Oryzias latipes: one gene and its partner. The protein of the gene in region 1 purifies or fractionates together with the protein of each later gene. This does not show direct contact. Links are inferred from orthologs where the notes say so. Each region holds a gene or a part of one and is shown on either strand. Other genes may lie near its edges.

Region 1 (4,045 bases):
AAATCATAACTCGCCACAGGAATGAACTAGAAACTTGCTTTCTTTTTTAAACATCCTTATGATTTTTACTCTTCATGTGTGGGCCGGACTTAACCACCTCGGGCCGGATGCGGCCCGCATGTTTGACACCCCTGCCTCAAACCATTAGTTAAATTGCCTGCCTTTCTTCTCAACCAATCACAATCCTATTTTTGCTTTTAAATTCATGAATGGTCGTCTCTCTGCATTCTAGACGGTCCGCTGGCCCTCCACCTAAACAATGCTTTGTAATGGACTGGCCCCCAACCACCAGCAGTGTCTCTGGGGTTTATTAAGCTCTGGTACAATTCATTCTAAAAACACAAGACATCAATGGCCCAAAGATTATGAACTTCTTTCCATGAACATTTTTCTGTGGCACAAAAAAATGTTTACTCGCCATCCTAAAATATCTCTGTATTGAAATACAGGTGCATCAGGTTCTCCAGGGGCTTTTTTAAAGTCATTAGGACAGTCTTGGAACATTCAATTAGATTGGGATGAAAAGTGATCCACCTTCATAATGTTTGGTCTGTTTTCATACTGCACTCTCTGGAGCTAAACAAGGACTACAGAAAAGTGTAAAAGACGGTCACATCTACTGCTCAGTAGGGGGCAGTATTACCTGAGACACACAAGCAGAAGAAAAGCACAGAGAAGACTATGGACTGCTTTCTTTGATCTTGCCCCTACACTTCTGTCCGACACTGACTAATGCCCTAGTCATAACTGCCCTTACAGTCTGTCTGCGGGTGAGAAATGGGCTAACCTGTACAGAGCACGGAGATAACCCAAACGAAATAGCAACATCTGAGCAAAAATATTCATCCACGTTTCTTTCTGCAACGATGCTACGGGCGACAGGTCATAGTAAACACTTAGACAACACACAAGGGAAAGGAAGGGTGAAGTAGGTAAGATGCAGGTGTCTCAGAAGGATTTTTCATTTTTTCAAACCCTGAGCACTGCGGCATTTGCGCACGGTTAGTATAAGGTCCAGTGCGCACCTTACAAATGACTACTTAACAAACACGACCATAGTATGTAACATTTTCATGATACCACCTGGAAGTGGCCACACAACTGAACTGAAAGGAACATCTGCATTCTGCTTAATAATAATAATAATGGATTAGATTTTTCTGCGCTTTTCCAGACGCTCAAAGCGCTTAAGATGCGGCCAGTTTTCTGTACGACCCTCCAAAGGCCCGAACATCCCAAAAACCCACAAAACCCTGTACATGTGACAAAGGCCTTACATAGACCTTCTTTGATTGATTACTGCTCTTTGGGTCTGCTGTAACTGTCTTCTGCACTGAACCACACCGGCGTTTAGAAGCAGGAGAACAGAGATCACCCGTTTCAGCTAACAGGAGTAAACTTGCTTGGTCTGTACCAGAGTTCAGAAGAGCTTTAACGCATCCAAGAACTATCAGGATACAAAGTATGGTGTGAAAGTACCATCAAAATATTGCTTTTATAATTCCATCACGGATTTTAAAAATGGTAAGGCTTATTTCAGGCAGGTGGCTGTGTAGCAGCGGTAGAGCAGCTGACTTCTGATTGGAATACTGCAGGTTCGATTCCAGCCTTGCCATCTATGTGTGAATGGGACTGTGACTGTAAAGCCCTTTGGGCCTTTGAAGAAGTTTGTAAAGGGCTATACAAGTATACGCCAATTACCATTTATTTCTCACAATAAAAAAAAAATCAAACTGGAAATCAGTTGATTATTTTTCCTTCAGGACTACTAAATAAACAAAATGAAAGTATAAGCAGTTCTGAACAATGCTTAGCAATAAAGATAACTATTACCAAGTGGAATATATGCTATTTATGTCTGGTATTACTGGTAAAGATATAAACTTTTAAAGAATCCCAGTTTGTGTTACACTAAAGATGGATGCTTATGGATCGACCATGAACACATCTGATGGAGTGACTCATTGGTTTTTGAGCTGCTAAAGCAGAAGGCTGCAGGACTCCTCACTAAGGCAACAGTTTGTACTCAAAGGCGTGAAGCCTCAGCCAAGACCACCAAAGCAAACCTGAGAAATGATCCTCCCCAAACGATGAAGATCAACCACAACTAAACCCTCGCCTCAGGTCAGACCAAACTCCACCTCTAGAAGCCAGGCTGCCTGCAGGACGTTCAGATAATGGATGGAGTCTTTCCACCTCGTGGACTGCCTCCCTTTCGGCGTGTTTCTTTGAACCCTCCTGAACTCCTCCTCATCCTCGCGCTCTGCTCCGCGCGGCGTTCCTGCGCGTCCCGCCGCTGCACGAGAGCGAAAACAGCGGATGAAAGGACCCGACGGCGGCGGCATCGAACCCTCTCCGGCCTGGCTGGGATCTCTGGATCCAGTCAGCAGCGCGGCGCTGGTTGTTTCTGCAGAAAAAAACGCTCCCACACCGAACCGAACCGAACCAAACATGCCCGCCGCTCGGGTCGTGTCTTACCGCGTCCAGGCTTCCCGGCACGGCGGCTGCCAGTGTTTGCACCGGGGGAGGCTGCTCTCCACCGACTCCCTCCGACGCCATCTTCGTGCTGAAGCGCTGTGCCGGAGTGACGGCGCATTCGACACTCATGGACGGCTGCGCCACCGACAGCAGAGCCCGTCCAGGACGGACGGCCGACAGAAAGACACGACGCGGGGCCTGATGGGAGCAGATCTCCGGGAAAGGAGCAGCAGCTGCGGGGGAGGGGGGGAGCCGCTGTGGGCGTGAACCGGAGGAACATCCAGATGTGAGAGCCTGGAGCCCACTCACGCGCAGGGATGTGCCTCAGCGCCCTCCTCCCTCCGGATGATTGACAGGAGCATCTGCCTGTCTGAGGAGCCGTGGGGGCGGGGAAGTGGGGGGGGGGGGGGGGGGGGGCTGGTCAACGGCGGCGTCTGCGCCCCCCCCTCCCGCGCGTAAAGAGATGACCTTAAATGAAAACAAACATTGTTTTCAGCAGCTTCACATTTACAGCCAATGATCTGGGGAAAGTTTGGAGTTTCACTGCACCAGCTCTGATTTCAATAGAATAGAATAGAATAGAATTAGAATAGAATAGAATAGAATAGAATTCTTATTATAGACTCTAGGTCCAAATGTCAACAACATTAAAACCTAAAAACATATAGAAAGCATCATAAAACTAAATAAAAGGAATACACAAATCATAAATCCGTGTTTAATTCTACATTACATACTCAGAACAACAGACATGCCAAAAGAACATTGAGTTAAAAAGACTTCCACATTCTTTATACCATGGTCCAGGTCACATGTGTCCAACTCAGGCCCGAGGGTCAAATTTGGCCCGCAGTGTAATTATAATTGGCCCGTGAGATCATATCAAACGTACATTGGAGCTGGCACGCGGTATATTCTGTACCGTTAATACTACACATCCCACAATGCTTTGCTAGTATGTTGGCATGACTGTTGACAGTCATTGACAGCCGCGCTCCAGTCACATCAGACAAATTAATTTCACCCTCCACAAAAATGGCCAAACAAAAGATGGACAACAGGAGCTTTCAAGACATTGCTGCTAAAATACGAAGGTTTTCCTCGGCTCAGAGTCTAACCCCAGACATTAATTAACTTGCATCTAAGAAAAGATGCCAGGCATCTGGCTTAGACCAATGTGCAGAGAAAATCATAGTGTAGCAAACTGAGCTTGATTATATCTGTTTCTTATGCCCTTTTTCTACTGAAAGGCATGGTGGTCTGTTAATACGGTAGTTGAAATGCTGGATTTTACTGGATGACATTATTTTTGGTTCTTTTGTTGTTGACATTGCAAAAGGTTTACTTTAAAAAAGAACTTGAAAGGATACGGGGAGAGACATGCCTTATTTATTTATTATATTATATATTATATATTATAGTATTTAAAGAATACCACCGATGTGTCTTTTATTTCAAATTATTTTTTTTCATGTGTTTGTAATATCAAGATTTGGTTTTTACAGAATCTGCGTTTAAGCATAACTTAAGTTTGTTACCATACAAAAAGGCTAAACATTACATCTCA
Region 2 (3,517 bases), on another chromosome or scaffold:
CAGATCGCTGAGTCGTGAATATTTTTACACATAGTGGGGTGTGGTAAAAAAAAGTAATGTACTTCAGAAAAATTGCAGCAGAATGTTTTATATTAAGTATATAAAGTAAACAAACGAAATGCGCTACTGTCACCGGAAGTTGATGGATTTCCAAAGTAAAGTGTCAGTGAACGTCCTCATTTTTCAAAGTAAAACTATCGAGTTTTTTTCGTAAATAAAAAAAAAAAAGACTACAGTTCAGTTTACTGACATAGGTTCTGAAAAACGGATTTTGGTTAATCATAGTCAACAATTAAAAAATACAAAATGAAAAATATTTCTAATGAGACTTTCTGCTAGCATGAACGTGTCTGCAAAATCTAAAATGTTGGAGTTTTTTGGTTTTTCTTCTAAAAATAGAAAGTCAGCTTATAAAACAGGTCTGTTGGAAAGACTGTTGTAGTTTAGATGAAAGGACAGTCGATGTTTCCTACTTGTTGCCTTTTTATTGAGGTGTTGCTGCGTCTTCATTTACTTTCTTCTTAGCATCGACCCACTTGAACTCCAGTCGGTAAAAGTTTGAGGATGGAAAAACATTTTCCGTTTTTTTTTTTGTTAAACGATCCAAAACATTTACGTTTGTTTTGTTTACTGCTGAAGTTAACCAGGAAGTTGACAGAAAAAGCTATGAGTGTGACGTTATTTAAAGTGGTCAATATCATTTCTTTCTTTCTTTCTTTCCAAATCTTTGTTTTTATACGTTAAGTTGATTCTGATCTCCTGTTCTAAGCAAAGGATGATTAAATACACATTATTTTCATTCATCGCGTTCAAAAGACAAGCGGTGCGTTTGTGTGTAGCCACATGCTGCCATATGGTCGGTGTGTAACTGTAATGGATCTGCAGAGTTGACGTTCTAGCAGTAACCGAGCGTCCTGTGACTCAGCACCATACTGTCTGTCTGTGTGTGTGTGGGTGTGTGTGTCTGTCGGTGTGTGTGGTGAGGGTTTGTGAAGGGTGCCACCGCTACACAACTGTCAGAGTTGAGAAGACTCATTGTTCTGGACTCTTAGGCGTTGATGAAACCTTTTCAGAGTTGCTTCCTCTAGGGTTGTGTGTTGGCAAGACTCTGGGGATTTCCTGCTTTTCTTGGAATCATTTATGAAATATTTGATCAACACGGATTTAAAGGCGCATCGTCAACGAATGGTCTGTTTTCAAACATACGGCACATTGGACTATACGGCACATTAACCGAGACCAGAGTCAGGCATGAATCTGCCAGTCAGTCAGACTGATGTTTACAGGAACTCTAGAACATGTTTGTAACACGCTACAGGTATAACAAACACGTAGCCAGGTTAGAAGCGCTAGCTGGGTCAGGGTATTCACAACGACTGTAACTTCTAAGCTCGTTAGGAGAATCTGCTAAAATAAACGTTACTGTGACTTAGGGCTGTGACGATAACCGCATCACTGCACGTTTTTTTAATTTGAAAGTTCTGCATATGGCGCGTGATTTGAACTATAATAAACACATTAAACACATTCATCTTTGCTGATAATTTACTTTTTCTGCTAGTCCTGTGTGTAGAAAAAGTCTTCATCCTCCACTGCAAGGGAGGGCGGGGCAGCCCATTATACATATTATGGGGGTCCTGACACCATGACTCTTGCTGCTTCATCACAGCGGTGGTAAAAAATCCCACACCGTCACAGCACTACTGTGACTACGCTAACCCCCTAACTTTGTTAGTAACACGCGGTCCAAAACTGCTACGGGTTGGCTGCGTCAGAAGCGTTAGCGTAGTCACAAGGCCTGTAACTCCTAACCTCATTTGCAACACGTAAGAAACAATACTTCTAAAATAAAGTTTGTTTCTCTGACTATGCTAGTTGTTCGTAACAGTCTAAGGCCGAAACAAACTGTGACCACGCTAACCCCAAACCTTGTATAAAAACACTTTTAAAAAAGCATAGCATAGAGTTAGCAGGTTCACAATATCTGTAACTCCTAACCTTGTTTGCAATGCATAAAAAACGATGGATACCGCTAAAACATAATTGTGACTACGCTATCTCCCAAACTTTTTAGTAAAGTTTAAAAACAAAAAATTCAATTCCGACAACCCGATATGTTCGCTAGGCTAGCATGCTAGCATGAGATGGTTCTGGTGCTGAGCTGCTGAAAGAGTCTTGGTGTGCTGAGCTGCCATCTCTTGATTGGGGGTGTAAGTGGAAAAGTCGGACACTGAACTACATTTTGGCGTATAAATAGCTAGTTAAAAATGTTTAAAATCCATACAGGTCTTGCCATTTTTAAAAATCTGATCCAATATAATCTGACTGACTGACAGACTCATGTCTGATCAACACACATTTAAAGTCGCATCGTCAGCGAATGGTCGGTTTTCAAACTGATGATGATGTTTTCTGCTCCTGTGTGTCTCTACAGGCAGACATTTGGTCTTTGGGCATCACGGCCATCGAGCTCGCCAAAGGGGAACCGCCAAACTCAGACATGCATCCCATGCGCGTCCTCTTCCACATCCCCAAGTCTCCTCCTCCCACGCTGAGCGGAGACTTCTCCAAGAGCTTCAAAGAGTTCACCGAGGCGTGCCTCAACAAAGACCCGGCCTTTGTACGCATCCAAGTTACTTTCAATCAAATAGATGATTTTTCCATCCTAAGGAGGTCAAATCGTGCTTTTGTCTTGATACAAATTTATATCTGTACGTCTTCTAAAGTCATATCCAGCTTTTTGTTGTGATAAAAAAGATTTTTAGGTGTTTTGAAGTTTTTAAAGTAACTATAAGAACAACTTAATCATTTATTATTAAAGAAAAAACAGAAATAGTTTTGTTTCATGTGGAGCTTTGGTACCAAATGGAACATTTTGAAACTTTATTTTTAGTTACTTTGCACTCCTGTAAACGTAAGGCCGCTCCATGAAAGTTTTGTTGTGTTTTGCTGCCACCTAGTGGAAGAAATTATTAAATCTCCTTAATTTGATCAATAAACCTGAGGCCAAACATTTAATCATTTTATATTTTTTTGCCTCTTACTTTGAAAAAATCTCATTTCCTCTTTTTTTTTTTTTTTTTAATTCCCCTCCTTTGGCTTCACTCTACGGTCCTGCAGCGGCCGACCGCCAAAGAGCTGCTGAAGCACAAGTTCATCACCAAGCACTGTAAAAAGACGTCTTACCTGAGCGAGCTGATCGACAGGTACAGGAGGTGGAAGGAGGAAGGTCACAGCGGCAGCAGCTCCGACGACTCAGACAGGTGACTTCAGGGCTTTCTTCTGCTGCTGCTGCATGTCGGTTCAGCGCCTACAACTGTTTGTTTGTGTGAGCAGTGAGTCCAGCAACAAAGAAAACGACATGCATCCTGAGTGGTCCTTCACCACCGTCCGGAAGAAGAAGACAGAAGGCAGGATGGTCCTCAACGGGACGGTTAGTCGCAGTATCTGGTTCCTCGGGAACCTTCATCCTGATCCTCCGATGGTTTTAGGGCATTCGGGTTGAAGCAGAAATGTT

Evidence for each region. Proteins that work in one complex are often made in the same cells at the same time.
Region 2: the proteins of cttnbp2 (region 1) and stk26 purify together in Homo sapiens (affinity purification with mass spectrometry; 4 studies listed by BioGRID and IntAct, with this or other methods). This does not show direct contact. The link is inferred for Oryzias latipes from reciprocal best matches to the Homo sapiens genes CTTNBP2 and STK26.

The regions. Positions count from the first base shown.
Region 1 is NC_019864.2:3,451,360-3,455,404, forward strand, and holds the start of cttnbp2 (cortactin-binding protein 2), read right to left. Parts: upstream 2,813-4,045; 5' UTR 2,608-2,812; coding exon 2,479-2,607; intron 1-2,478. UniProt on the Homo sapiens protein: Regulates the dendritic spine distribution of CTTN/cortactin in hippocampal neurons, and thus controls dendritic spinogenesis and dendritic spine maintenance.
Region 2 is NC_019876.2:4,690,937-4,694,453, reverse strand, and holds part of stk26 (serine/threonine-protein kinase 26), read left to right. Parts: intron 1-2,434; coding exon 2,435-2,620; intron 2,621-3,120; coding exon 3,121-3,263; intron 3,264-3,336; coding exon 3,337-3,433; intron 3,434-3,517. UniProt on the Homo sapiens protein: Serine/threonine-protein kinase that acts as a mediator of cell growth. Modulates apoptosis. In association with STK24 negatively regulates Golgi reorientation in polarized cell migration upon RHO activation.